4 linked regions of the Tamandua tetradactyla genome follow. The protein of the gene in region 3 interacts with the protein of the main gene of each other region in a biochemical or structural test. Links are inferred from orthologs where the notes say so. Each region holds a gene or a part of one and is shown on either strand. Other genes may lie near its edges.

Evidence for each region.
Region 1: of the proteins of SP1 (region 3) and MAPK3, one has a biochemical effect on the other in vitro, tested with the Homo sapiens proteins (2 studies listed by BioGRID). The link is inferred for Tamandua tetradactyla from reciprocal best matches to the Homo sapiens genes SP1 and MAPK3.
Region 2: the proteins of SP1 (region 3) and RARA form a complex in vitro, tested with the Homo sapiens proteins (2 studies listed by BioGRID). The link is inferred for Tamandua tetradactyla from reciprocal best matches to the Homo sapiens genes SP1 and RARA.
Region 4: the proteins of SP1 (region 3) and JUN form a complex in vitro, tested with the Homo sapiens proteins (2 studies listed by BioGRID). The link is inferred for Tamandua tetradactyla from reciprocal best matches to the Homo sapiens genes SP1 and JUN.

The regions. Positions count from the first base shown.
Region 1 is NC_135349.1:24,645,718-24,653,606, reverse strand, and holds the start of MAPK3 (mitogen-activated protein kinase 3), read left to right. Parts: upstream 1-4,885; coding exon 4,886-5,067; intron 5,068-6,149; coding exon 6,150-6,332; intron 6,333-7,889.
Region 2 is NC_135332.1:27,028,838-27,036,794, forward strand, and holds the start of RARA (retinoic acid receptor alpha), read right to left. Parts: upstream 3,018-7,957; 5' UTR 2,911-3,017; intron 1-2,910. UniProt on the Homo sapiens protein: Receptor for retinoic acid. Retinoic acid receptors bind as heterodimers to their target response elements in response to their ligands, all-trans or 9-cis retinoic acid, and regulate gene expression in various biological processes.
Region 3 is NC_135333.1:114,748,433-114,755,474, reverse strand, and holds the start of SP1 (transcription factor Sp1), read right to left. Parts: upstream 3,015-7,042; 5' UTR 2,908-3,014; coding exon 2,901-2,907; exon of another isoform or gene 2,876-2,900; intron 2,644-2,875; exon of another isoform or gene 2,519-2,643; intron 1,852-2,518; coding exon 1,703-1,851; intron 1,394-1,702; coding exon 1-1,393. UniProt on the Homo sapiens protein: Transcription factor that can activate or repress transcription in response to physiological and pathological stimuli.
Region 4 is NC_135328.1:162,049,560-162,057,485, forward strand, and holds JUN (transcription factor Jun), read left to right. Parts: upstream 1-4,921; 5' UTR 4,922-5,922; coding exon 5,923-6,924; 3' UTR 6,925-7,683; downstream 7,684-7,926. UniProt on the Homo sapiens protein: Transcription factor that recognizes and binds to the AP-1 consensus motif 5'-TGA[GC]TCA-3'.

The sequences.
Region 1 (7,889 bases), on a different chromosome or scaffold from region 3:
TTTTTTTTTTCTTTCCGTTAATAAAAAAATTTAAAAAAATAAAAAAAAATAAAAAAAAAACAGGTGAGACACATAGCCCAAATAACCCTAAAGATTGGGAGAAAGATCAAAGGAGATGGTGGATTTATACAGAGAAGCTACAGTTTAACAAAAGAGTATGAGTGCCGAATTATTATACTGATATTTCTTTTAGTCTCCAGTATCTTGGAGCAGTTAGAAATAAAAACCTAAAATCGTGAAATTGTTACCCATACCACACTCTGAGATCTGTTCTACAACTAATTGCTCTGGTGTGCTTTGAAATTTATTGCTTTTTCGTATGTATGTTATTTTTCACAATTAAAAAAAATAGGTGAGACAGAGAGAAAACAAAAAGTAAAATGGCAGATCTAAATCCAACAATGTTGATAATATGAAATGTACATGGATTGAGCAATCTAATCAAAAGGCAGAGATCGTCAGACTGGGTAATCATAAGAACACACTTTAGATTCAATGATACAAATAGTTGAAAGTAAAAAAATAGAAAAGAAAAAGATAGATCATGCAAACAACAACCATAAGAAAGCTGGAGTGGCTACACTAATAACAGACAAAATAGACTTTATAACAAAATACATTACAGAGACAGAGGTATATTTTATAATGATAAAAGGGTAAATCCATTAGGAAGATAAAAACAATTATAAATATATATGTACCTAACAACAGAGCACGAAGATATAAGAAGTGATATCAAACAAGAAAAAGAAACAAACAAAAATTATGTATCAACTAGCCTCAGGTGAGGCTATCCAACAAACATTGGCAATCTGTAACTGGAACTAGAGAGAAGGATAATTACTAAGGATAGAGATTTACATAAAGGAAAAAGTTGATGTCACAAGAATATAATGTGATTAAGGGAGACACCGTAGAGGAAGAAGGGAGTAAGAAGGTGTGCCGGTTTGAATTTGTGGTGGACCCCAGAAAAGCCATGTCCTTTAATCCTCATTCAATCTTTTTTTTTTTCAAGAGCAGGCACTGGGAATCAAACCCAGGTCTCCAGCATGGTATGGTAGGCAGGAATTCTGCCACTGAGCCACCATTGCACCACCCTGTGGGTATTAACTTTTGATTAGAGGGAGATGTGACTTCTCCCATTCCAGATGGATCTTGATTAGTTTAATGGAATTCTTTAAAAGAGAAAATATTTTGGGGACAGCAACAGAGTCCACCAGCCGGAGACCTTTGGAGATGACGGAAAATACCACCAGGAGAGCTTCAAGGAACAAGAAGCCTGTAAAGACAGCTAGCAGATGTTGCCATGTACGCCATGTGCCTTTTCAGTTGAGAGAGAAACCCTGACCTTTATCAGCCTTTCTTGAGTGAAGGTAACATCTTGTTGGTGCCTTAATTTGGCCATTTCTATAGACTTGCTTTAATTTGGACAATTTCATGGCCATAGAACAGTAAACTTGCAACTTAATAAATCCCCCTTTTAGAAGTCTTTCCATTTCTGGTATATCGCATTCTGGCAGCTAGCAAACCAGAACAGAAGGCTAGTCCAGGGAAGGATTCAGAGGGGGTAGGCAGAACTGATTACAAAGACTTCAGAGAAGGGCCAGCTAAAGAATGCTTATTTCAAAGGAGAGTTGTTTGGGGATACCTACTGTATAACATTTGAAGAGGAGTCACAAGAAAACTATAGTGGAAGTTTTCTGGATTAAAAAAAAAAAAAGGTCAGTACTTAAACCTTGATAAATGTTTAAATGTCTTCTCACCCCATTCCTGCACACTTGCTGCCTTCTTGGGCCGTGCTGATTTGTTGAGTTAATCAAAATATTCATTTGTGCTCTGAAAAAACAAGGCCTTGCAATCATAAAAAGATAAGAACTGGGTTTAAGATTTAATCTGGGTAGATCCAGAGGACAAAACTAAGCCAAATAGTGGCCATTAGAAAAACTAACGATGCAATCAGCTGTAAAGTAATGAACTACCTGGTGGAGAAAATTATTCCCTTCCAACTCTACAATTTCAGTAAGTTCCTGCACTTTTTTCTGTTAAATGGAGATACTGGTATGTATTTCATATGGCTATTGGGAAGATCACAGGAGATATGGTACATAAAAGTGCCTGGCAAAGGAGAGATGCTCAATTTATAGAAGCTGAATATGAATCAATTAAATAGACTAAGAAATACCAGCCCATTCCTCCAAGGAAATATCAACCTCAACCACTAGAGGGGAGTCTCCGTACCACACCCTTAAAATGAACCTCAAAAATGCAGCAAGAGGTGGCAAATTGTCCCTCCAGATATATCAGCCTTTCCTATGCTGAGAAACTCACTCCCACTCAAGAAACCTGGCTCAGTGCTGAACTCCATGGTGTTTTCTCTGAGTCACTATACGCTCCTGCAGTTGCAAAATGATCTGGCAAAAATCCCTCAAAGGTTTTTACTGCTTACTGAGTAAGATCCAAACTCCTTGCCAGAATCCAAGGCCTTTCTCAGTCTTCCCCCATCCTACCTCTCCAGCCTGAACTCTTAATTCTTCACATTCCAGCTACCCTGGACAAGCCAAGCTCCTGCCTCTCCGCCTTGGCTCATGCTGCTGCCTTTCCTTTCTTGGGTCCTGCTGAAATCCTGCCTTTTCAATGGCTCAAATATCACTTCCATTTATCCTTCCCTCACTTCTCCAGAGTGACCTCTCTCACCCTTGAGCTCCCACGCTTCATATTATATCCATCCATCATTTTTTATAGAGATGAAATTAACATTACATAAAATTAACTATTTTAAAGCGAATAACTCTGGGGCATTTAGTACATTCATGCTGCCCTGCAACCACCACCTCTATCTAGTTCTAAAACATTGTCATCATCCCAAAAGGAAACCCATACCCATTAACAGTAACTCCCTATTCCCCAACCTTCCCCCCCGCCCCCCCAGCCCCTGGCCATCATCAATCTGCTCTCTGTCTTCAAGCGTTTATCTACTCTGAATTATTCATATAAGTGGAATCACACAATACGTGCGCTTTTGTGTCTGGCTTCTTTCATTTATCATAATGTTTCCAAGGTTCAGTCACACATAGTATTTAACAGAACTTCATTCCTTTTTATGACTAAATAATATTCCATTCTATTTGTGCATGCTTGTAAGTGTATATATAACCCAAAATTTGTTTTTCCAATCAACTGTTGATGGACATATGAGTTGTTCCCACCTTCTAGCTATCGTGAATAACACCACTATGACGTGATTGTACATGCATTTGAGTGTCTGTTTTCAATTTTGGGGGGTATACTTCCATCTACCCTGAATTAAATTGATTTATATATGTACATTTTATCTTTTTAGTAAATTATAAACTTCACAAGTAAAGAGGATGATAGATAATCCACCCCCCAAAAAACACAGGGAGTAAGTAACAAAGATGCGATTCTAACTCAGGCAAGCTGACTCCAGAGAGCTCCTCTCCATTAATTTTATACTGTACAGTAATTTTTCAACAGAGCTTAGCTAGAGCTTCGCACCACCATTTTATAGTTCACTAAATGAATAACTGAAAAAAACACTGCTCTGATTAGCACCTCTTGAACCTTCAGAGGTGCCAGCTATTGAAAAGGCAGCCACTCAGTCTCACCCATCTGAGTCAGACTGCCTAGCGGTGAATTCAATTATGAGCCATTTCAGAATCATAATTACTGTTCCATTTTGTCTCTTGATCTGGAAGGCATACAAGAACCTACTTCTAGCTACTCAGGAAGAAATAAACAACATGATTACTTACTGAAGCCTAGGAGATATGGGTTTTTGTGAAGCTTTCAGCTCACATCTTCAGTGTGCAACAAAGGGGGTAGGCTGGGTGGTCTCTAAGGGATTTTTCTCCAGTTCTAACAATTCATGGTTCTGAGAGATAATAAGAAATTAGAGAGCCTCGCCCCCTTCAACAGACGACATCATTTTGAGTCTCAGCTGTCATTATTGCTATGACATTAGCCAAGTCAGTTAACCCAAGTCTCAGAGTCCTCATCTGTAAAACGTGATTTGTTCTTATTTGAGTGTCTGAATATCAGAATTATAAAATCTGGTACAGATTCGAAAGATGATGATCTTGCCAGGATTCCAATTTTGCCAACTCCATCAGCAACAAAAACACTACCTACTTTGCTGGTTTGTGTGTGTGTGTGTTTTGTTTTTGTTTTTTGAGAAGAGCCTGCTAGCGAATTTTAATCAAACCCACTCAACTTTGCCTGCAGCTTTCTGGCCTTTCCCCTGCTCCCCAGGTTAAGGATGTCCGGCCTTTGTCCCTAAGCCACTAGGTTGGGGGCCAGGCCCTCAGGGTTCCCCAGCTCTCGCCTGTGCCGGCCCCCTCTCGAGGCTTCAGTTTCTGCATCTGCACAGGGCAGACCACAGCCACCAGGAAGCCCTCTCACACGGCCCCCGGGAAATACCGACGGCCTCACTCATCCTCAGGGCCGGGCTGCAGCGGATTGAGAGGACGGCTCCGTCTCGCGACCCCCGGCCGCCTCGCGGTCAGCGCAACGTCCTGGCTCCACCACATGCTCGCTGGGTGGCCTCGGAGAAGTTCACGGGCCGGGCCGCATTGGGCTGGCCGTGCCACTGACCCCCTCTACCCTCCCCCCAGGCCCTTCTTCGCGGACCCCAGCTGTCGCGCCCAGGACTACCACACCCGCGGCGGGAAAGCCGGGCGCGCGTAGGAGCGGGCCACGTGACCGGTCGCCGGCCCTCGCTCGAGCTCGGCGGGGGCGCGGCGCCCTCGGGGGCGGGGCGTGCCCGGGGGCGGGGCCTGGCGCGCGCGACCCCGCGAGTGACAGGGCGAGCGGGAAGGGGCGGGGCCTCGGGCGGAGCCGCCGGGCGGGCGGGAGGGGAGAGGTGGAGATGGCGGCGGCGGCGGCGGCAGCGGCGGCTGAGGGGGGCGGGGGCAGGGAGCCCCGGGGAGCTGATGGGGTCGGGCCGGGGGTCTCGGGGGAAGTGGAGGTAGTGAAGGGACAGCCGTTCGATGTGGGCCCGCGCTACACGCAGCTGCAGTACATCGGCGAGGGCGCATACGGCATGGTCAGGTGAGGGGGCGTTCTTGGAGGGGGTTATCGAGGAGGAGGGGGCTCCGAGAGCGAGGGAGGGGAGGGAGTGGGGTGCTGCGTGCTTCCTGAGACCTGGAGACTTAGAGCGTCCTGAATTGGCGAGGGACTCAAGAGGCTCGGGGAGCGTCCGGGGGGAAGGGGCCTTTGAGTGCTTTCTGGGGGGCGGGCGGGGGGGCGGGGTGCTGCGAACGTTTTAAGGTAGGGGCCTCGGAGGCTTTGAACGGACCCCCCTATAATGCAAGGAGGGGCATCTGAGTGTATGTGGGGAAGCTGTGGGGACCATGGGAGGGAAGGGGGCCCTTGGGGTGAAGCAAAGATTTCATTCTTGGGGAGGTGATATCCTCAGTGAAGGGGGAGTGAAGGACCCTCCTTTGGGGAGAGGAGGCCTTAGATCTCCCAGTGAGGCTGTCCCAGAGAGTTTGGGAGAGAAGAGCAGAGCTTGGGGCTGGGCAGGGTGGGGCAGGATTTTGGCAGGGGACCAGGGACCCAGTGAGTGATGAGAGCACCCGGAGTGCCCCCCTGCATCTTTTGGGAGGGGATCTATAAGTTCTTCCAGCCGCCCTGTCTGCTCTGGGCCTTTGTTCCTCTGGGAACTGCTCTGCTGCCCAGGTACCTCACCCTGAGACCTGCCCCTGCCTTGACCTTTCCTTCCAGGCCCTCCTCCAACTCCCTCTGCCTCATTGTGTGTCCTTCACTCACCTTCTACCCCCTGAACCTGTCTGGGGTGGAAAGAGCCCATTCTGGAAAGGGCGGTGGGGGGGGGGATGAGGGTGAGTCAGGGCAACTGGAATGGAAGAGGGTTAAGGAGAGGGGAAGTCAGTGAGCGGTCAGTCTCTTCCTCTGTTTGTAAAGTCACCGAAGGGCCTCCTGGCTGCTCCCCAGCCTTTTCCCTGGAGATCCCAACCCTTCACCAGCAGGAAGGAACCAGCATTGTTTATGACTTGGCCAGAGCCCTCTCCTGCTCCCTCCCCTCCCTGCCAAGGCTAGGGTGGAGCCAGCCACCAGGCTCTGGACTCCCCCTTTGTAAGGCCACACCATCATCATCTCCCTGGCCCTCTCAGCTCAGCTTATGACCACGTGCGCAAGACTCGTGTAGCCATCAAGAAGATCAGCCCCTTCGAACATCAGACCTACTGCCAGCGCACACTGCGGGAGATCCAGATCTTGCTGCGCTTCCGCCATGAGAACGTCATTGGCATCCGGGACATTCTGCGGGCGCCCACCCTGGAAGCCATGAGGGATGTGTATCCTTCACCCTGGCCAGATGGCTGGCCAGGCATGACTTTGGAGCTAGGCTGGGGGAACACTGGCCTTCTTTCTGTTTCCTTCTTCCCATCCAACCTTCAAAACAAACTCCATGAAAGAAACTTTCCAGCACAAGAGAGGCCAGAGTGTAAAAGGGTTGGGAGGCCTCAGTAGGATTCTGACCCTGCTCAGACAGGCTGTGTGACCTTGGGCCAGTCCCATCCCTGCTCTGGGCCTCTGGGGGGCTGGGCAAGATGGTCTGTATGGGATCTTTGTCTCCTGACATCTGCAGATCTGTGGTGTGATCCAGCCTCTGCCCACGGTCAGTTCTTGCTTAATAGACTGACGATTCTTTCCTCTTTGTATCCCTGGGCTGGAAGGCAGGCAGGCAAGAAGAAAGCTGCCTTTTCTTGAGGACCTACTATGTGTCAGGGGTTGTGTCTACGAAGTGCTATTTCGTATCTTCCAACTGCCCTCTGTCAAGATAGGCCTCACCAGGTCCATCGTAAAGATGAGGAAACTAAAGTTTAGGAAGCCTAAAATCAAGTGCTTCTTGTTGCTTTCTTCTTCTTCCCCCCGGATGAGAATCTGCCTTCCTTTGACTTCCCTCTCAGAGCCCTACCCCAGGTACCTCTGAATTTGAACCTTGCCCAGGGAGGGACAGACTAACCTTTGTTGCCCTTCCCCAATCTCGCTTTCTGAGTTTGTTGTCCACTTCCTGCCTGGTTTGATGGATTCTCTCAGCAGCTTTTCACACCCATTACCCTGCCTGTTCCAGCCCTCCACCAAAGAGTGGAGATTTGTACTGCAGAGTTTGCTGCCCCCACCACAAACTGAACAGGAAATCTCCACATTTACCCCCTGACTTGCTGTGTGATCTTAAGCAAGTCACTACCTCTCTCTGGGCCTTCCCATCCATAAAACAGCAGGATTGGTCCAGATATCCTTGAAAAGCCCTTTCTAGAGATGAGCCAGATGGCATTATTCATTCATTCATTCATTCATTCATTTATACTTAATCTTTGTTTTATCTTAAAATATAAATATACATTTGTTCCTCAACCTTCTGATGTATGGCCAAGGACTATTTTTTGAGTAGGAGTGTGCTGTTGGGAGTTTTCCTCACTTTTTTTTGCCTAAATCATTCCCATAAGGCAAACATTCATTTTCAAGCAAACATTTCTTGCATACCAGATGGTGTTCATACATTATCTCATTTAACCCTCTTAACAGCCATGTGGCACAGGCAGTTAGAATAGTAATAAAAGTTTGTGTTGACTGAGCATTAACCATTTCCTAAAGCCCTGAGCTGCTTACTTTACAAGAATCATCTCATCCAGTCCTCATAACCATCGTCCAATGAACGATTATTTCCTCCCTTTTACAGACGAAGGAATTGAGGCACAGTCAGGTTGATGCTTGTGTGAGTAGTAGAGTAGGGATTCCAAACATTGGCAGCTTCACTCCAGAACTGTCGCTTTTAACTGGGATGTTCCCCTGCCTCCTGTGGTTTATCATTATCCCCATTTTCCGTGTAGGAGAACTGAGGCCACAGA
Region 2 (7,957 bases), on a different chromosome or scaffold from region 3:
CTCCCACAGGAGGAGGAGTGAGGAGGTGAGCAGTTTGGAGGGAAACCTTCCCAATTCCTGACAAATCAGTGCCAACCACATTGTGGGCACTGAGAGGGCAGGGCCTGGCTCCACACGTTGGTCTTTTGAGGGTAGAGGGAATTGACCTGTGGAAGTTAGTGCCAGTTTCCCTCACCCCGGCCCAACTGGAGGCAAGATAAAATAGTGCCCCAGCCTCAATTACGCTAATCTCCTGCTCCCCAAAATGTGTGGGTGCAGACAGAGGGGTTTCGATAGCCACTCCCAGATACCGTAGGGAAAAAGGCTCAAAGGAGAGCAGAAGATCTTGGCTACCCACATGTAAAGATGGAAGCCTGGAAGAGAAGACGGCCAAACTGCCAGACCTGCCACCTGCATCTGCTGCACCTAAGCTCAGTTAGAGACTAGGAGCCGGGAGTCGGGGTGCTGCAGTGCCAGGAGCTACTGTGCCCTCACTCCTCTCCTACTGGGATTCCTGACACCTCCCAGTGCTGGGAGAAGGCCCTCCCCATACAGTAGGAAGGAACCAGCTTAGCGACTCTGGAGACCTGCAGGGGAGCCCCGTACCATGAGGCAGGCGGGAAACCCAGGAGCCCAGGAGCCCTGGCGCCTGGCCCAGAGAGTGAGTGAAATACCTCGGAGGGGAGGAAACAGCCCAGAGCCAGGTAGATGCTTGGTGTCCCCAGCAACTCCTAGATGTGACCCATAAGGAGGTGCTGGCCAAAGGCATCAGCTAGAGAAAGTGAATACACTTCTGCTGAACCAGAGGAGAGAAAAAACTGGGGTGGTGGGGATAGGAAGGAGGTGAGGCCAGCCTGACTTCCCTGTCCTCTTGTCCCCATCAGAGTCGACATACTGACATGAAGCCCTTCAAACACCTCGGTGTGTTTCCCCCGTCCCTAATTTCCAGATGCCAGACTTTTGATCCTATACTTCCCAGGGGCCAGGTTGAGGAGTTGGCAGGCTCAAGGTGGCACTCAGGAGGCCTGGGCAGTGCCAGGGGCGGCCCTCACACCATCCTCCCACTGGCTTCCCTCCTGCCAGCTCTCAGCCGCCACACATATCTCAGCTGTCAAATCCGATTAGGGCTCTCGCCCAGTGAGCTGGACACGGAGGCCACAGGACAGGGGAGAGACAGGGACAAGGACTCCGAGCAGGGATGGCAGAAGGCAAGTGAAGACAGGGCTTAGGGGAGAAGGTATGGAGTCCCAGAGGAAGAGAAGGCTGCTGGAGACATCTGTCCTGTCTTGACCACAGGCTCTCTTGTGACAGCCACAATCTACAGTAGGGGAATTCTGTAGCCCCTGGGGCAATAACCCTGCCTGGCTCCTCCATCCCTCAGATAAGCAAGGACAGGGGAAGGAACCTAAAGGCAGAGAGCTTGACCTAGATCTAGGAAGAGGAGCCCATCTGAGAGAAGCCCAGACCATCACTACCATTTACACTGGGCTTTAGGATTTACATTATTTTGTGGGGTCTTTATGGCAGTGTCCAGTCAGGCAGGCAGGGCTTGCTATTGATAGCCACTTTTACAGATGAAGAAAGAGGCTTAGAGAGTGGGGAACCCTGTATAAATGCAAATTGTTAAACATCCGGGCTGAGTCTTAAATTCAGCCCTCTACTTCCAGGCTATTGCTCACACTGAGAATCTCTACTTCCCTCCTCAGGTCAAGAGCTGAACTAAGTCTGAAGCCAGTGCTTTATCTGCCCTGTCCTCCAAGCCCAACCCTCGGGACTCTGGGGAAGCCAAGGAGGAATGCAGAGCACAGCCCACACCTAGACCGCATTACCAGGGGGCATACCACCCACCCCACCCCTACTACACTGAGAACTGCAGGGGTTCTCCCAAAGAGTTCCCACTCTCTTCTATCACCTCCCCATTCTACTATTCCCAGAGGCAATATACAGATTCACAGGCAGTTACTTAGACAAGTCATACACCCGCTCCTGCAAACCTACCGAACCAGAAGAAGATAACTCTGATCTTCAGAAAGCAGGGCCTATCAGTCCACCACGGGAGGGGAAAATAAGCCACTGCAAACAGTAGGTGTCATCTAGCCTCTCCCAGAGGCTGCAGGAGGGTGGGAGCTACAGGGCCTCCCAGCTCTGGGGTAACACCAGGAGCCAGAGTCTCTGAAGCCAAGGCACCCAAGGAACTGGCATGGCTGGGAGGTCTTCCCATCTGGTCCACACCCCCTTCCCCAGCCATATGGGCTGAGTCTGTTCTAGCCTGGGTTATACTCCGGGATCCCTCCCCTTACCATAGCCACCTACATTCAAAGCTTACAGAGCTTACAACCACATGGTCTCTCCTCACATACACACACACCCCAGGTCAGTAGGGATCTTTCCAATGGGTGTTGACATGTTGGCAATGATGAGGGGCTCTAACTGAACTTTCCCTAGAGGGAAAGGCCACCTAAATGCCGACAACCTCCACCACCCTCCAGCAAAGCCTTTGGCCACCCAAGTGTGAGATGAACCTGGAAGACCTCAGTTCCCTCACAAGGTCCCTCCTCCTGCTCCCTCCACTCTCTATCACCCCAACATTTGCCAATTTTCTTGTCTTGGTGAGGGATATTGGGCAATACTGCAAAGGTAGGTGCAAGGGCGTGGGGCCTGGGCAGACCTTCCTCCCACTTTCCAGTTTCAGCTACAGATTGGGGAATGCCTTGGGGAAAATGCAGGAAGGGTGCTGGAGGGTTCAGGGCCTCTGAGCTTTCAGACACCCCGCTGTTCCCAGACTCCCACCTCCCAAGACACAGTGAGCAATGGGGGAGGAGGGATGGGGAAAGCCTGAACTGGCAAGAGGGAAACGGTAAGATCAGAAGCAGAGAGACCTGGGTAGAAAGCAGACAAGGGATAATTGGGAAGGGGTGTGTTTTGTCCTACCTGCTCAGGTGTGTTGGCAGGGGTATGGTGGGGTTCCCAGGAGAACCGGGGAAGCCCTCTCAGCTCGATTCAGGATTCCCCCCTGCTTCTGGTTAGGCTGCTGCAAGAAGCACAGGCTCCCGTTGGGTCCTAAAGTCCACTCCCCTAATGCTAGGATCTCCCCGCCCTCTTCTACCAGCTCTGACTAGGTCAGCAGGTGCAGAGATAAGGAGCTGAGAACCGATGGGAGAGAAATAACACTCTGGAGGAAAGATGGAAGTCTGAGTCACGGTCTAGGGATAGGAAAGGTCTCAAGTCCCAAATACATAGCACATGGATGACTTAGCTGAGGACAGGATATTACGGGAGAGTAGGGAATAAACATTTCTTCTTGACTTCCCTGAAGATGGATTTGGGCTTTAGTGCTAGAGATGGGGTTAAGATCCCTTTTCTTGTTACCCCTACTAAACTGGAGCGACAAGCACTAATCTTTGAAGGGGTGGGGTGCTCATGCCTGCTTCTACCTACTATCCTTCCCTTCACAGATAGAGCAAAGGCTTTCCATCCCTCCCCACTATTTCTAAGGGCCTAAGGAGCCATCTGAGGGGAAATATCTACTTGGTTTTCTGGTAAGTAAAGTGGGCAGGATGACCTGAATTGCAGCTGAAAAAAGATAGAACTTTACATCCTGAGGGTGAGGTGTGTGCATTTGTGTGTGTGGATATAAATACGCATATTCAGGTGAGGGTATGAGCAAGTAGGGCTAGGGGAGAAGGGAGAAAACACTTTCAGCTACATCGGTTGACAGAAATGGCAATTGTAAATATCAGAACAGAATGCAGAACCTAAAAGTCAGCTAGTGCTCTGACCCAGTCCTCAGTAGGGTTCTGGATTTTTACCAGAATGAACAAATTAAAGAAAGGGAAGTTTTCCCCAGATGCCATTTGGGACATAAATGTAAGGCAGAAGAGTTGGTCAGATGAATTACTGACTTACTTTAGGATAGCCAACCTTCTCAGTAGCTCAAAGAGAAAAACTCAGGTTTGGTGGGATAGGTGGGCAAAGAAAGGGGGGGATGGGAAGTCTACAGAGGGGTGGATTGAGAACATTTTGCAAGGAGGGTTGCACATTTCTCTAGCAGCAGAGCAGGGGAAATGTCATGGGGTGAAAGGCCAGGGAAGCCAGGGACAGACTTAAGGGAGGGAGAGAGCATGGCCTTTTCCTAGAAGGGGAAAGGGCAACAGCACTGCCTCCACCTCTGTCTACAAGAAGAACTGGGGAAGGAGCTAGACAGTAAGGATGGAGGGCCCCAGGGTGGAGTCGGTGATGTGAGCTCAGGTCAAGCCTTTCACCCCGAGGTGCCTCAGTTCTCTCCCAGCTGTTAAACAGGACTCTTGGTTCTTCCCAGGCAGAGTTAATGAGTGTTTACAAAAGGGCTTGGAGCTCCTCAGATCTCAGCTGGGCCACCACTAGTTATAAAGCTCAGTAAGGGCTGAGTGTTATTTGGGGAAAGGAGGAGTAAGGGAAGAAGGAAACAGACTACTCTCTTACAAACTGAGGATAAAACCAAGCTGCAGAGAAGCACAAGGCTCATCTGCCACAGGATATCCTTGTGCCCAGGGACGGAGGTCACATACCCCAGAACCTCTAACCACTACCAAAGGCTGGCCTCCAGCTAGCTGGAGGCAGAACCCAGACTAGCAGCTGGTCTTCATTAACTCCAGCTTTTCACCCCCCACCATGAACCCACAGCTTCTACAGGCCTAGGCTAGAGGGGGCTGCCCCAGTCCAACCTTGCAGCTGACTCCAGTGGGGGCACCACAGGAAAGGCCAAATTACCAGCTGAAAAAGAAAGTTGGAGCAAGAGTCCTTTTTCCCATTGGGAGCAAGAAGAGAGGAAGGGAAGTGTGGGGGTGAGAGGGTGGAGGTGGGGGAATTTAGGGCAACAGTAGGCAGTGAAGTCAGCTGGACTGAGGCCCAGAAACCCCTACACCCTGGGGCCAAGTCTTACTCTAGCTTTGCTTTCAAAGCTCATCTTGGCTAGGCCCCAAACTAGAAGGCCCTGGCTGCCCCTTTCTGCTCCCTACCCCCACCCTTATTAAATACACATTTTATCTCTCAGCATCTTCATTATCTTAACTGAAGGAGACAAGCAGTGGATGGCGGCAGCAGAGCATCAAGGGGGTGGGGGGAGGCACGGGGAGCAGGCGCACCCTTGTTATAAAGTGCTGATCTAGCTCTTTCAGGCAGTGTGGGAAACAGAGGCGAGATCAAAGGGAGTGAGGCTGATTCAGAACTCAATTAGAGCTGTTTTAAAAAGGAGCTTGCTTTCTCCTTTCGCCAGTCTTCAGAGAACCTTACCCAGGCCTCTTGTACCCAATTAGCTTCTACTGCCTTAGGGCTGGGGTTAGAAATCAAGGGAAAACCAAAGGGCAGGCCTTCTCCCCTATAGATCTTTAGAGGGAGACCTGGGCTGTTTATGCCTATGATGGCACCTTATTTTTTTGGGGGAGGATGGTGAGATTGACAACTTCTCCAAAGTTAAAAAGCAGGAAAGCAAAGGTGGGTTCCCTCCTAATCCCTTGCCAACTGAAGGCACAGCTTCTGGCCAATCTCCAGTAACACTAGGTGACATCCAGACAGGCACCCCTCTTCCCAGCCTTCAGGTAGGACTCTCTCCTTACAGCAAAATGTCCCTGGAGCAAAATGGAAGTTGCCTCAAGCAAAATGCCACATCAGAGGGACTGAGTGGTAGGCATCTATGAGGCCAATAAATGCCCCACAACTGTGCTAAGACACATCTCATAAGATGGAACACCCTTCGTGTGCAGGGGCCTGCTCAACATCCCAATGCAAAAGCACCCACAATGTTGAACTGTTTAAAAATGGGAAGACAGGCAGCATCTTACTGGGTTCATTTATCCATTTATTCAACAATTATGGATTGATTACCCACCAGGTACCAGATACTGAACTAAGTACTGGGGATAGAGCCAAATGTGAATAAAATCTCCACCTTGGCTCTCTTCTAGGTTTTCCTCAGTTGCAGTCAAGGTAACACCTCTTGAAAAAAATGTTATTTTTTAGTCCCCAAGCTCTACCTCATCTCCACACCCCAGTTCTCATTGGTGTATATTAATATGGCACTCAATAAAAGTAGGTACCAATGGTTGGGGGGGATGGAGTAGGGAATAGGGGTCCACCAACTTTTTTTGGTATCAGAGGTGGCAGCTCAGGCTGAAACTTGCGCCAACTTTATTGTGCCTGATTTTTTCCATGGCAATACCCACCAGCACTCTAAGAAGCTTGTTTTTTTTGGGGGGGGGGGGAATATATACACACACACACACAAATCAGGACATATCCCACCACCTTCAAGAGGAAAAATGTATGTCAGCATCTCTGCCACCACTCCATGTGAAGCAGCCGATGATCCTGGCAAAAACTAGTAACCACAAGCTCAGCCCAGCCCACTAAAAATTTGACCACCTTACTATAGCTCTTAGCTATAGCTAAGTGAGAAAAGCCAGCAAGGAAAGGACTTTCTTCCTCCTCTCAACCTGCTCCCTGGCTGTCTGAATTACACTTAAGACTTTACTGACAAACATACATCGGCTTTTGCTCCCACAAGGGCAGCGGAAGCCAGGCAGGGATTCTAAGTCTGCTTCACGCATCAGTGACAGAACCAACCCTGTTCCAATTGCTGAAGTCTTGAGAGCAGCAATGACCTAGAAATTGAGTGGGGGGAGAACTGAAGGAAAGGAAACCAACAAACCAATACTCAGAAAAACCTATTTCCAAATACCAGGGGAAAGGGAGAGAAAGGAGGTAGAGAGAAATTTGGCTCCTTTGAATCTGCAAATGTGATCTTGGCTGGCAGCCACGGAGGATACATTGCAGCCCCACTGCGAGTCAAGCCATGTTCCTGACTCAAGCCCCACAGTTAAGAGGAAGGCGCCAAGCCTCAAATACAACGAGGTGGGGAGGCTGCTCCTTTTTGGGCAGGATCCTACTGTGGACACAGAACAGACAGCAGCTGCCCACAGTGTGGAAACTAACTGTAAAGCAGTCACGTCTCTTTAGGTTGCAGTATCCAATAAAATGTAATTTAAATCAAGCCTCGCATCTGTTCTCAATCCCATTCAGTCTCTGCTTTCCATCAGCCTTCGGACAATCTTGCAATTATGCTTATTAACCCTTATAACCCCAGATACTTTCCCAACTTCTAGGTATGCAACTGTGCTCCCCGCTCAAATGCTCCATAAAGGAGTGTGAAAATGGTCACAACATGTAGAATCGTATGTCTGAACTATCCTCTCCTACACACACTAGTGGGTAGTGTTCATTTCAGATGGCTCTCTCTGTTCATCCTTCTACCCCATACCACCTGCTGCAGTCCAGATCACATTGCAGGGATACAGCGGGAAGGATGAATGAAACACTGGCCAACAGATCATTTGTACACATATCGAGTTCCCAAACTCAAGCCCAAGTCAGAAAGGCAAAGGCAGGCAGAAGAGCTCAGGGGAATGAGACTTGGTCACTTGTTCTCTGACAGTCATCTCACACATGGTTTACATTTCAAGCTTGAGTTATAAAAATACAGCAATCTCTTAAATAATCAAACTAGAACTATCTTCTGCCTTCCCTCAAAAGAAAAATACCCCAACCCCAAGCCTGACTCTTGAGGCAGCTTGTGTTATAGTGGTGCCCTCTGGTGTCCCAGTCACAAAATGCCATTTAATGCCATTGGGAGATGAATTGAACAAACCCATTAAAGGGGAGCTGTGAGGAACCATATGTATTAATTTATCTAATAAGAAAAATATGTGGTTTAGATGCAACTCCAACCCCAAACTAAGGCATCTTGAAACAAGTGGCTTCATCTGGGGGTAGCTAAAACAGTGGGAATGTTTGAATAATTCTCACATTGCCTTTGGAAAGCTTGTGTTCTCTTGAATTGCGATTGCTTAAAAAGACAAAAAATGCAAAGTGAAATAAATATATATTCACAATCCTTAGAGTTACATTCTCCTTACCACCCCCACAACCTTGGGAGTGCCCAAGA
Region 3 (7,042 bases):
TCACAGTAACTGTGCCGGCAGGGATGGAGGCAGCTGAGGCAATGGGTGTAAGGGTGGTGTTGCTGCTGCTGGTCTGTCCCAAGGAAACACCCTGCATTGGGGCCAAGGTGATTGTCTGGGCCTGTGGGTTCTGAACTTGGAGGTTCTGCAGCTGAAGAGTTTGCCAACTGACCTGTCCGTTGGGCCCCACTGTTGGTGTCCGGATGATGATAGGACCAGAGTTTGGAACAGCCTGAAGCTGGAGGTTCTGGAGGGTTTCCTGGGAGATAGCTTGAGTTGTAAAGGTCTGCCCTGACAATGGTGCAGCTTGAAGGGCCTGGAGGGCCTGTCCTCCTTGAACTAGCTGAGGCTGGATAAGAATCTGTTGTTGCTGTGTCTGCTGGTTTTGCTCCCCCTCTTTCTGTTGACTTGCTTGCAGTGAGCCTCCAGATGTCTGGTTCTGCTGGATGTTCAAAGCATCAGATCCCTGTAGCCCACTGATCCTTTGAGGTGTCTGACCTTGAGAGTTGGTCCCTGCTGATCCACTGGTGGTAAAGTTCATAATTCCCATGTTGCTGGTGGTAGTAGTTGTTGAGTAGCTATTGGCATTGGTGAAAAAGGAACTGGAACTGGCTTGCGATGATACCAAGTTGGCAGAACTGATGGCAGTCCCTGAAGTGACAGGCTGTGAGCTGCTCTCTTGGGACCCAGAGCTGCTGATCGTGACTGCCTGAGAGCTGGGAGTCAAGGTAGCTGCAGAAACGCTATTGACAGGTAGCAAGGTGATGTTCCCATTCAGGGCCACTGGTACATTGGCCACATACTGAGCCTGTCCTGAGAGCACATTATTAGCTAGGCCCTGAAGGGGGACAGCCTGCTGGAGGAGGTTTGGCATAGCAGCAATAATGTTGCCTCCACTTCCTCGATTTGTGATGATTTGTTGGCTTGCACCTGGTATGATCTGTATTTGACCAGAACCATCCTGCTGCACTTGGGCCCCAGTGGCAGCAAATTGCAGCTGTTGCCCATCAACAGTCTGGAACTGTGGAATTACTTGATACTGAATGTTGGGCATCACCCCAGGTAGTCCTGTCAGGACTTGCTGGTTCTGTAAATTGGGTGTAGCAGCCACAACATACTGCCCACCAGAGACTGTGCGATTCTTGGAAGACTCACTGCCGTTGCTGCCACTGGTACTGCTACCACTTTGTTCCTTTGAGGTAGGAGTAGCCCCAGAGGAGGAAGAGATGATCTGCCAGCCATTGGCACCCTGTGAGAGTTGTGTGGCTGTAAGGTCCAGCTCACCTGTGCCCCCAGCCTGGCCTGGCCCCTGGGAGTTATTGCTGTTCTCATTGGGTGACTCAATTCTGCTGCATGTTGCTGCCAACAGGGCCAAAGGGGATGGCTGGGATTCCTAGCCAGAAAATATAGAAAAGGAAAGGAGTTAGTGATAACAAGCTACCAACCCAGGGGGAAGTACATAACATAGAGCAAAATAGTGCAGACACATGAGCAAAAACAGAAACAAAAAGCCAGCCTATCTATATTGCTGAAATTCCTGTCTTTGAAGATCTCCAAGGTAGTCGTCTCTCTGTGCTTACTTCCCCACCTGAAAAACAGTTCTGTTTCTTCCTAAATTTTATTCTGCAAAGAGTAAGGCAATTATCTAGAAGCACTTACATCCCCTCAATACCTTCTTTCATTGTGTCCCACTATCACTTACTTGCCCTCCTCCACTGCTGCTACTGCCAGTGCTGCTGCTGCGAGCCTGAGAAAAGGCACCACCACCATTACCACTGCCCCCATTGTTGCCACCAACTCCTTTTTCAATCTTCACCACGGCTGTCATTTCATCCATGGAGTGATCTTGGTCTAAAAAGAACGAAAAGGCAAACAACTTAAAGTTAAGGGAAGAAACAAGGTAAAGTGAGAAAGGGTAAAGTGACAAAGGAGGCTATGATGAAACAGAAATAACTAAGAGAAAGGTGAAGGACGCCAAGGTAAAGAAAGTGGACTGAGGGAGAAAACTGTAGACTGTGAATAAGCTTAGTGGTGCCAGAACTGGGCCTCAATTTTTCTTTGCACAAAATTAAACTCTGAAAACATTCAAAATATGCTTTTGGGATTGGAACTATGAGGGACTGTGGGCATGTTGAAAGTTTTAAAATAAGAAAAAGTATGCGGGAGAAAAAAAGGAGAAGGAGAGGCAAGGCAAAAAACAACATGTGGGTGGATGGGAAGCTTGCTAAAATTATGGTTAAAGAAAATGGAGGAAAAATACGAATGTATAAAGTAGCAAGAGAAGAGAAGGAGAAACCGGTAAAGAAAAGGTAAAAAATGTGTGCGATGGGGAAACCCGCGAATACAGTAAACCGGTAAAAGGGGTCTGGGGTTAGATATCAGGAGGTTTCGGGGCGGGAAGAGGGCGGGTCCTAGAGGGAAAGGGCGGTTTCGGGGTGAGGGGCGTGGAAAGGGCGGGCCGGTGGGGGGAGGGGAAATGTAGGGGAAGGGGAGGGAGGGCCTTGGGGCAGGCGGTGACCAGAGGGCGAACCAGGGAGGCGGTTGGCCCGGGCGGGGCCTGCAGCACTCGGGCCGCCCCCGCGGCTCCAGCCCCACACAGGAGGAGCCTCAGGCAGGCGGACGAGTAGTGGGGGGTAAGGCCCGTCCCCCGTGGCCGGGGCGGGCAGGGGGCGGGCGAGGCCACGCTGCCCCCTCCCCCGGGGCGGGCGGCCCATCCCCCTCCTCCTCGGAGGCCCCGCCACTGCCCCTTCTCCCTCCCTTCCCTCCGCCCCGGGCGGGACCAAGGCCGCCGCCGCCGCCTCCCGCCCGCCCCCCCTCACGGCGGGGACCGCCCGGTCGGTCCTTGCGCGCGCCCCCTTACTCCCCTCCCACCCCTAAGCTCGGAGTGGACTCATCCTTACCGCTCATGGTGGCAGCTGAGGGACGAGCTCAAGGGGGTCCTGTCCGGGGGGGTTGGGGGGGGCCAGGAAAAACGCGGACGCTGACGAGGCAAGCGAACCTAGACCGGACAGGGAGGGGGGGTTAAGGAGGAGGGAGCAGCGCGCCACAAGCCCGGCCTAGGCTCCGCCCCTTCGCTGCTGCCCCGCCCAATGAGGGAGGGGGAAAGGAGGGACTTGCAGAAGAAAGGCGGGCAGATTATCCAATGGCAAGGCTCGCTTGCGCTCTAGGGCGTGTAATGCAGAGTTGCGTACCTGGTGTCCGCCCAAAAAGACCGCCTTCAAAATTTTAAAAACCAATGAAAAATGCAGGAAGTGAAAGTGGGCAGGAGCTAGACATGACGGGCTTTCAGGGAAACCAGTCAACGGCCAGGCGGGCTCCCTGAGAGGTAGGTATAGGGAGAACTTTGATAGGAGTGACAGACCAACGACCAACCAGAATCTTGGACGTGCCTGGGCAAAGTCCTGGGGAGGAGAAGTAAGAAGTAGGCAGGAATGGGATAGGATGAAGCAGATTAAAACCAATCAGATATCAGGCGGGCAGTCAGGAAAGTTATGATTGGGTAAAATCTGAAAAGAGACAGGTTAGGACTCATATTGACGTGGACGAAAAGCCAATTACCCGCCTAATGAGCTCTGAGGGCGGGAACTTGGAGTGGCCAAGGGAGAATTGGCGTCTCGCTCAGTCATTCGGCCCAACGAGGGGGCTAGGTAATCCAGACACCTCCCTCATATTGACTAATGGGCGTTACTTAGAGCCGCCCATGGTGGGAGGGGACTGGGCTGTGCCAGGAGAAGACCGTCGCCATATTGGCCCTCCCAGGAGACGTCTTTAGTTATTAGGTAGTATGCTTAAACCGAGCTTTCCAACTCCACAGGTGTCAGGCCCAGGACTAAGAAGTCGCTTTTGGCGCGAATTTCCACCCATCCACTCTGGCTCGTTTGAGTCCTTATTTAACAGCCTTTAAAAGGCAACGCTGACGTCTCATTCCTCCCCTGGCGGACGAATGCCTTAGAGTGTGGGTGTAAGCCCTCTGAGTGCAGGCATCACGAAATTTGGCGTCAGCGCTTGCAAAAGTAGTTAACACTTAAATGACCAATTTTGCAAGAGAGTCCAGCGAACGCCATTTCATTAAATTATCCGACAAAGGCACTAGTTTCTTAATGACCGGTTTAGTTTTCAAGAGCTTGTCTTTCAGGCTAAAGCGCGTTAGGGAATCTTCCGTACTCCAAGTCCTGAACTGCTTCTCCGATACCCGCACCCCCGCCCTTAATTGTAAATATCGCCGAAACATAAAGCAAGATAGCCGAGTTACTGCTTTTTATAACCACAGTGATGAAAGAAGATTTTGCACAAGTCACCTGAATTCTGTCCTCCATTTTGCATCCCCTTTACCCTAGTTTTGGTGGAGAAGGCCTGGGTGGCTTGTAAATGACATGAAGTTATTCTTTTAGTACTTGTATCTTGTATGTTGTCACTTTATTATCTGCATTACAGCACTTCATTATATGCTGTCATGTTTTAAAGTCTGGATTCTCCTAAAAGATGTTAAGCCCTTTGAAGGTAGGAAGTGAGGCCGCTGCTGATTTGGACAGGGGCTGGAAGAGAGAAAATGATTGTGGAGTGCCTGCTGTATTAGATACCTAGGTCCATTAGGACTTTGCATTTCTTAAGTAATTCTTATAAGGAAGATAGAACTTAAGTATTTGGGACATTATTATGTATTTTACAGGGGAAAAAATTGGGGTAACTTGGCCAAGGTCACAAAAATAAGTTTGTAGGTGCCAGATTCCAACCCAGAGTAATCCACAGAAATTTATTCACAGTTCCTTGTATTACTGTTTATATAAATGGGCTTAATTAAAAAACTGTTTTAAAAACTTTTATTGCTACCTTCTACCTCCTGAAAAGAAAATTTCTGCCCATACTGCCTGCACAGCTCAATCTTCTTTGTACACCTTTATTATAAAACTCATCACATTACGTACAATTCCTTGCATCTTTCCCTGGATTAAAGTTTCCAAAGACTAGTCTATATCAGAATCCTATGGGGTATTTCTTAATCAGGTTCCTAGACCCCACCCTAGACCTAGTAAATGTGGGTTAGAGGGTAGAATGGGTCTTCAGAATATGATTGGGAGAGGAGTGTGGGGTGGGGGTGGGGAGGTGGTTACTTTGTATTACAAATATTCCACATCCATGACTGTTCAATAGGAAGTTCTCTAAAGTGATGCCTTCAGCCTTGGCCAGTCCAGGAATGGTGTCATCTGACTTCCTCATCCTGCGAATTTCCTCGCAGACTGTAAGTTTTAAACTGGCTGCTGAACCTGCCTGTGACCTTGTGCAGCTCGGTCCCATTGATCTGGACGGGAGTGTGGTCCTTGGTGCCAATGGTGAAGCTGCTGGCGGAGCGTTGCCGCGGCACATACAGCTCCGCGAACTCGCCGGAGTGCTTCTTCCCGTCAAGGCAGTGCCTGGTGCCCACGATAACGCACGGGAGCCGAGAAAGGTTTGAGAACATGAATTTTTAAGTGGCTTTTTCAAGTAATTAGTTCCTAAACCAGAGTTTGGTAAATAGTAAGGGAAGAAACTGGAAGGAAGAAACTTCCTGGAGGGAAAAACCAGCATTACTCAATCTTGTAAACCATGCTCTGGAGATTCTAAACAGCTGTTTGGCATATTCAGCAAAGGGCCACACCTAAGCTGTCTAGGGCGGGGGAAAGAAACTAACATTTATATTGTCGAGCTTAATCCTTTCACCGATTGAAGAGATTATCATCCTTTTTTACAGATGAGAATACTAAGGCTCAGATCCTTTAGTTAATTGTGACTGTTCTGTTCAGCTTCAAAGTCTGTTTTTTTCCGTGGTTCTATGCTGGTCTATGCCTGAAATGAGAAGTAGGCTCTAATTTTATCCCAGGTTCTGAGGAAAAGGCCTAGATTTTGATCCAGAAATACAATAGCCACCTTCCTTTTTACAATCCTTTCCCTTTGTTCCTTCTAGGACAACACAGAATTCAGTGCCTAGCCAGTGAGGCTTGTCCTGGTCATATCCTTCCTTACTGAGAGAACCTGAGAGCTAATGAACTATGATCTATTCTCCTGTGAATTTTCTTTAGATTTAGTCCCCACAACCCCCCCCCCAATTGAATGAATACGTTTATTTCAAGACTTCTCAAATCCTTCACCCATCAGTGTCAGTCTATGCAACCATCTGTGACATCATTGAAGTTACTCCTGTTTTTAAAAAGCAATGTGGAAAATTTAAAAAAAAGTTTTTTTGAAGCAATGTGGATCATTTGAGGATTGTTTTACTTCAGAACCACTCTTATGAACAGACTGTGCCTGGCTGTGTAGTAAGCCTCACATGGGAAAAATGGTGGCATTCCTGTATGCAGTATGGTCTGTACTGCACTTATTCATTATTTAGGCTCATCATCCACTACTGTTCATGGTACTTAGTATTTGTTGAAGTTTCACCCAAAACCATAGGGTTTTTTTTTTTTGGGGGGGGGTTGTCTCCAAAGTCCAGACCTTCTGGGCTGTCAAACAAATTGTTATTCTTAACTTTGATAAGAAGGATTCCTGTGAGCTCTTTCCTACCTCCCCTGGTATGAACATTTGTCCATTATGCATTTTTGTTTTGTTTTTACATACCTCCATGAGAGTTATCTGTTAAGACCCTAGTCTTCCTCAAATAGAGTAGGTAATTTGAGAGTAGGGATGATAGCTTTTCATTTTGTATACTCTCTATCTAGCATGTAGTTGACACAAACACTTAGTGAAAGGTGAAACCTAGTCCCCACCATCCTGAAAAGATTTCCAGATGATCACAGTGCTAAGAATTGATTCTCAGCCTTCATTTGATTGTCTTACACAGCAGGTTAAATCATTCTTCCTGATTTTGAAGCCACTCTTCAGCTTTGGTCAGTTACCCATTTAGCTATCTTATAACTAGGAGTATTTTACAAATTAAAATACACAGATGAACTGCACAACGCAATTAGTGAACCCTAAGTTAAACATGGACAATAATTAATAGTACAATTATAAAAATAGTACAATTATAAAATGTCTTCATCAATTGTAGTAAATGTACACCAGT
Region 4 (7,926 bases), on a different chromosome or scaffold from region 3:
GTTTTAAAAGCCAGTATGTAGTTCACCATGCTAATTTCTCTCTGCCATGGCAATCAGCTATGTTCCAGAGAGGAGGCACTCTGTTAGCTTGGGTTCTAGAGTAAAGATGACATGTATGAAACAGAGCCATGTTGTATGACATGGCATGTAGTATGAGTAAGAAGTTGTCTCTATGGCTGTAATCCAGTAAAGTTTTAGGAGGGCTACCATAGTATAATTGAGCCTAGACAGAGGTGTGCATTTCCAGCTGTCTTCCAGGCACAGAGTAGGACTGCATGATCCTGTACCCTTTAAGTTAGGCATGATCATGTGATAAGTTTTGGTCGATAATATGTAAACAGAGGTAACATGGTCATTTTGGGTAGGAAGCTTTAAAGCCAACATGAATTCACCACGTTTTCTTTCCCTTGCCAAGATCATTGGGATGATTATGGAAGCATATATCAAGACGAAACTTACTTCCGACTAGGTCTCTAAATGAGAACATTCAGCAGAGTCCCTCTGGCCTTGATCGTGTAGTATCAGTAAGGAACAAAGTTTTGGTGTTAAGCCACTGAGTTTTTTTAAGAGTTCATTATGGCAGTATAATCTAGCCTATTTTAACTGATAAAAACAGGCACCTAGACATAGGGAAATGCAAAAACAACAGTATACACAACAACAAAACTAAAGATTCATTTACAGGGCAATAATTAAGAACATTGTTATCAGAGGATGAAAGGATGACGATCCAATTGACAAACGTATCACTGTGATAACTAAGATGGCAGATCAAGAACCTACCCAACAAAAGCAAGAAGCTGTAAACCAGAATGTTAGTAGCATCTGTTGGTTGCTGTTGGGCACTTTTAGAAAGTTATTATAAAAATAAAAATAATAATTTCAAAAAATCAAACAAAAAAAATTCAACAAATGGTGCTGCAATAACAGGATACTCACATGGAAAAAGAATGAAATGTGACCACTGCCACACAGCATACCAAAAAAACAGAAAAGCTAGAAAGTAAGGGCCAATTAAAGAAGGCCTGGATATAAGAATTGATCAAGGGGAGGGCCTTCAAATTTATTGTTAACACCTCTGGATAAGATGTGTTAAGATGCTACACAGCACATATTTTCAATTGGACAAAATGGCTCAGGAAAAGGGAGAAAAGGTATGACTCTCCCATTGAAGCCCAATAAGCCCAAAGCATTCAAAATCAAGTTCAGGGTGGGAGAAATGAGAGCAAGAAAACTGAAAAAAATGTGACAAACCACAGAACTTAGAAACATGTTTAGAAAAAAATAGTGGCTGAGCTATTAGCACATGGAATACCTGGAATCAAAAAGGTAAGAAACATAATACATTTCTGAGAGTTGTACTGCGAAAAGAATGTGAGACTGGATTCAAGTTTGGGGATTCAATATCCCCCAAATATTACAATTTTATTTAAAAGCCTATTTTCCAATGCCTACATAGAAAGCAAGACTCTCTCAAAGGGCAAAGCCAGGGGTCACAGAAAACAACAGACAGGGCAGATATACTCATGGAGTGATACCAGAGTCTAATTAGGGTACTGGATAGAGAAGTCCTCCAAATGTCTGCACAGTGGACCAATATCTGCTGTGGTCTCTGAATTCTTCCCTTTCCAAATGGGAGTGTTGGCTGCAGCTGTACTGTCTCTGTCCCACGATTACATTTTGAGGTGTGGAGGATAAGTATCTTGCCCTTAGATGAAGAGGAGTTACATGTGAATCTGATGTAAACTCTACTACCAGCACCAGAAATCCTGGACAGTGAGCTTAATGCTGAAAATGGATGGTTCTGGTTATCTCCCTTGAGGAAGAGTGAGGGAGTTTTTCCTGTGGAAGGAGAGTAAGCCAAACATTTTGTGAACAGAAAGGGAGACTTACAGAACATTAACATTCCCCAAATATTCCTGGCTCTCTCCCTTCAATACACCTGGCAGGATTACACAGATTTAAAGTTAGGCATGCTCATGTAACTTGCTTTGGCCAATGATATGTGTCCCTTCCAGGTGAATGCTCTGAGAGCCACTGACTGATATGCCTCATTTTCTCCCCCTAGCCAAGGTAGTTGTAAGAAGCATGTATCGAGATGAAGCTCCTTCCTTAAGTGACTCCTTAAGTGATTATAGGGGCAGAATCCCCTGAAAACCCACGTCGGACATGGAACATGAGCAGGAAATAAACTCCCATTGTGTTAACCCACTGAGATGTTAAGGTTGCTTGTTATAGCTTTCCTGACTGATGCTGGGAGTGAAAGATGAGACTGGAGAGAGCAGGAGAATAAATTATGAAGGGCCCCTTCTGCCAGGCAAAGGAGTCAGAACTCTCCTATAAGAAGGCAATGAAGATTTCCAAGCAGGGGCGTTAACATGAACAGATTTGTTATTTTTTGGATAAAATACACTATTTCTCAACAGAAGGAGAAAATCAGCCTACTAAACCACATAAGGCAGGGAGGAACATACAGAATCTTCAGGAAAAAAGGTATATACCCAAATTCCTAAGTTTTGGAATTTCTAAATAAGGGAGCTGAACGGAGTCTCTGAAAGGAGTTACAAATCAGAGGATCAGGCGAGACAATTTCTCCTATCCTACAAACTCCATTTTCTCTGCAGACAACTAATATTTCACAAGAAAGTTTGCCAGAGCCAAGAAGATAACAGGGAATATTAATTTCCAGCTCCCTGTATGACTTAGCAAGATACTTAAACTCTCTGAATTTACTTCCTTATATGTCAAATACAGATAATAATAATTATACATATTATATATATTATATCAGTATACACATATATCAAGATGGTTGTAGGGAGAAAACAGCACATTTAAATTGCCCGAAAAATGGTAAGTGTTTAAAATATGAAAATTATTCTTATTGTTATTGTAAAAATTACTAAGAACACAAGTTTTCTGATTACAACAAAAAAATGATTATGGACAACAAAACAAAGAATGAGCCTCCTTCAAGGAAGGAACTGGATCTTGTCACCCCTGTATACCTACACACTCCTCCTCACTGTACCCCAGCCTCAGTGGGCCTGACTCACAGTAGCCACTGTTATCCTCTGCGGCATGAGTGAATGAGAAGTGAGCGCCCAGAGTGAAGAAAAATTGGCAGATTTCCCACTGACACCACACCAGCTGCTGTTTTACTGTTGATTCTGAAGTCTCAAAGCCACAAATACCTTAAGGCTGGAGATTATGAACTCAAGACAGAATTCCCCCAATCTCAGAGGAGAAAAACCAGAATTAGACCCTAGGAACTTAAACTGCTTCAATTTCAAGCCCCAGTCTCAGACAGAAGACCTGATAAAGAACTGATTTGTAAACCTTTCCTCCCTCACCCCTTCACTCACCACCTCCCATTACTGCTCCTCACAAGAAAGTGGACTTGTACTGCCAAATCAAACTCTCCTAACCTGGCATTTCATCCACTTCCTAAAAGGCTCGGGGAAACTTCCAGGAAGGGGGCTATGGAGGGACCAACTCCCTAGGCCTGGAAGCTATGATGCTACGTTGACTCCGGGTAGCCGAATGAGGTAGATGGGTCCCACTCGCAGTTGAGGGACCTGAAGTACCGAGTTCAGTGCTTTGCTTCATTTCACAATATAGCAGCCCTGAGCCACGAGAGAACCCACGATTCCGGATTTCGGTATTCTTTACACCACTCACTTCTGCCCATAAAGGGGGGGGGGGGCGGTGGGGGAGAGATGGGGGTGGGGAGAAATCAAATTACAGAAAAAAGAGCCACTTACATGTGTCTAGCGCTTCCTAGAGGCTGCACAGAACTTGGGCCCACCACCCGGCAGGGAGCAGAGATTCTGAATACTAGTTCTACCCCTAAGGCGTTGCGTGACTATTGCTAAGTCTCTGCCACTCTTGAGACTTGGTTTCCCGGAAGCAAATCCGAGCCGGAGTGGTGAATGTATCGTGGACAGACGATCACCCGGGTTCCCCGAGTTTCGGATTTCCTAAACAAACGCTCGTTCCCAACTGGACGCTGAGTTTGCCCCAACCCTACCTCATATAAAAACCTCCCCTCTGAGGCAAAGCTATAACCCCCCGCACGCTCTCCCTTAGGAGACTTAGGGGGTAGAGGATGAAATGGGGTGCAGCGGAGACTTGGCGGGGCGCCCAGTTTCAAGCAATGCAAATCATTCGGGTCTAGGCACAGCCAGACGGCGGCGAGAACTGTCGCTCCTGAACTCGACCAAGACAAACTTCGGAGCGTTCTCAATGGAGGGTGTTGACTCCCAACACACCGCCCCTAAACTGAAGCGCACTTTCACTCGCCCCACGGGAGACTTTACAGAACCACCTTAAGGGCTGCGTTCCCGCCCTCCGGAAGTGCGGGGGTGGGGCACAGACGCGGGCTGCCAGCCTCCTGGTCCCGCGAGGTAGAGAAATGTCCGTAGGTGACTTCGAGCCGCGACCCCGCAGTGGGAAAATGCCACCGCCCACACACCCTCGGTCCCAGACTACTGGTCCGGTTCCCCAGCCTTCCGGGTCCCCGCATCCCGTGCATCCCTGTCGCGAGCCCTGAACTTGAGCCTGCCTCTGTCAGAAGGTGCGAGCGTCAGCTCCCGTCCGCCCGCTCGCGGCGGCCACCGTCACTGGACAGTCAAACCCCAAGACGTCAGCCCACAATGCATCGGGCGGGTTGGGGAGAGGCGGGTGAAGAGAGGCGAGATCGCGCGGGAGGGGGAGGGGGAAAGGAGGAGAAAGAAGGGCCCAACTGTAGGAGGGCAGCGGAGCATTACCTCATCCCGTGAGCCTCCGCGAGCCCAGAGAAGAATCTTCTAGGGTGGGGTCTCCATAGCGACAGGCGGGCCCGCCCCCCAGAGAGCGACGCAAGCCAATGGGAAGGCCTCGGGGTGACATCATGGGCTATTTTTAGGGGTTGACTGGTAGCAGATAAGTGTTGAGCTGCGAGCTGGATAAGGGCTCAGAGTTGCACTGAGTGTGGCTGAAGCAGCGAGGCGGGAGTGGAGGTGCGCCGACTGGGGTAGACAGACAGATAGACACAGTCAGTCAGTCAGAACGGCAGTGGAGCCCGACCTGCAAGTCTTATTTTCTTTTCCATTTCCTTACTCACTGCCCAGAGCTAGAGCCTGTGGCTCCGGGCTGGTGTTTGGGGAGCGCCGGGAGAGCCCCTTCTCCAGCCGCCCCCGGGAGGAGAGCCCCGCTGCCCAGGCACTGACTGCCGCGGAGAGCGACGACTGCCTGGGGAAGTCCAGCGAGTGGCTGCAGCGGCAAGGAAGTTTCCCGACCGGGAGAGAGAACAAGTACCGCAGGTCCGGGAGAGAACTTTTGCAAACCTTTCCTCCGCCTTAAGCTGCCGCGGCGGCGGTAAAGAAGGCGGCGGCGGCGGAGTGAGGAGAGAGAAGAGGGACGTGCACCCCAGCTTCGCTCTCACGCGTTGCTGAACTTGGGCGAGCGCGAGCCGCGGCTGCCGAGCGGTCCCCCCTCCCCCTGGTAGCGGAGGAGGGGACAGTCGTCGGAGTCGGGGCGGCCGAGACCTGTCGCCGGCCGGCCACTGCGGGGTCCGAGCTGACCAGCGCCTCCGGGAGAGCCGGTGTCCCCGAGAAGCGAGTCCGTCTGCGGAATCCGAGGAACCTTTACGCCAGACAAGCGCTCAGTGAGTGACCGCGACTTTTCAAAGCCGGGCAGCGCGCGCGAACAGACAAGTAAGAAAGAGTGCAGGCGGCACTTAACCCTGAGTTCCCTGGAGCGAGCCGGTGAGGAGGGCGCCTAGGGGAGGACAGCCCGCGGGTGTGCGCACTCTTAGAGAAACTTTGCTTGCCCAAGGCCCGGGGAGGCGCGGGTGTTCCCCGTTTGTCCGCGCGCTGTTGCGGCCCCCAAAACTTCTGCGCGCAGCCCAGACTAACCCCACTTCAAGCGACGGACTGTTCTATGACTGCAAAGATGGAAACAACCTTCTACGACGATGCCCTCAACGCCTCGTTCCTCCAGTCTGAGAGCGGCGCCTACGGCTACAGTAACCCCAAGATCCTGAAGCAGAGCATGACCCTGAACCTGGCCGATCCTGTGGGCAGCCTGAAGCCGCACCTCCGCGCCAAGAACTCGGACCTCCTCACCTCTCCCGACGTGGGGCTCCTCAAACTGGCGTCTCCCGAACTGGAGCGTCTGATAATCCAGTCTAGCAACGGGCATATCACCACCACACCGACCCCCACCCAGTTCCTGTGCCCCAAGAACGTGACCGACGAGCAGGAGGGCTTCGCCGAGGGCTTCGTGCGCGCCCTGGCCGAACTGCACAGCCAGAACACTCTGCCCAGCGTCACGTCCGCGGCACAGCCGGTCAGCGGGGCGGGCCTGGTGGCCCCGGCGGTGGCTTCCGTGGCGGGCGGCAGTGGCAGCGGCGGCTTCAGCGCCAGCCTGCACAGCGAGCCGCCGGTCTACGCCAACCTCAGCAACTTCAACCCCGGCGCGCTGAGCAGCGGCGGCGGGGCGCCCTCCTACGGCGCCGGCAGCCTGGCCTTCCCCGCGCAGCCCCAGCAGCAACAACCGCCTCAGCCGCCACACCACCTGCCCCAGCAGATCCCGGTGCAACACCCGCGGCTGCAGGCCCTGAAGGAGGAGCCGCAGACGGTCCCCGAGATGCCTGGGGAGACGCCGCCCCTGTCCCCCATTGACATGGAGTCACAGGAGCGGATCAAGGCGGAGAGGAAGCGCATGAGGAACCGTATCGCTGCCTCCAAGTGCCGGAAAAGGAAGTTGGAGAGGATCGCCCGGCTGGAGGAAAAAGTGAAAACCTTGAAAGCGCAGAACTCGGAGCTGGCGTCCACGGCTAACATGCTCAGGGAACAGGTGGCACAGCTTAAACAGAAAGTCATGAACCACGTTAACAGTGGGTGCCAACTCATGCTAACTCAACAGTTGCAAACGTTTTGAGGAGAGACTGTCGGGGGTTGAGGGGAAACGGAGAAAAAAAATGACACGGAGGGACGGACTTGAGAACTTGACAAGTTGCGAGAGAGAGAAAAAAGAAGTGTCCGAGGACTAAAGCCAAGGGTATCCAAGTTGGACTGGGTTGCGTCCTGACGGCGCCCCCAGTGTGCACGAGTGGGAAGGACTTGGCGCGCCCTGCCTTGGTGTGGAGCCAAGGAGCGGCCGCCTGCGGGCTGCCCAGCTTTGCGGACCGGCTGTACCCGCGCGAACAGAACGTTAAACTTTTCTTTAACATTGACCAAGAACTGCATGGACCTAACATTCGATCTCATTCAGTATTACAAGGGGGGAGGGGGAGGGACAGGGATTACAAACTTCAATAGAGACTGTAGATTGCTTCTGTAGTACTCTTTAAGAACACAAAGGGGGGTGGGGCGGGGAGGGGAGGCGGGAGGACGGTTTGTAGAGAGGGAGGCTGAGCCAACAGATGAACTCTTTCTGGCCTGCCTTCATTAACTGTGTATGTACATATATATTTTTTAATTTGATGAAAGCTGATTACTGTCAATAAACAGCTTCATGCCTTTGTAAGTTATTTCATGTTTGTTTGTTTGGGTATCCTACCCATTGTTGTTTGTAAATAAGAGATTTGGAGCACTCTGAGTTTACCATTTGTAATAAAATATATAATTTTTTTATGTTTTGTTTCTGAAAATTCCAGAAAGGATATTTAAGAAAATACAATAAAATATTGAAAAAGTATCCTCCACCTCTTTTCTGCATTATCTGTAGATTAATAATGAGTGGAGTTGAAAGAGTTAAGAGTGTCAAAATCTCAGAGCTTCTTACTATCAAGCAGTAAAAACTACTCTCTACTGGACTTTAGAAATGTAGCTGATGCTCTCCTCAAGTTACATTATTGCCTCCCCCCAACTATCTATGTAGGATTGCTCACCAAAGGATAGTGTGGTCTTTCAGGTTGCTTTAAAGTTTGTATCAAGTGGC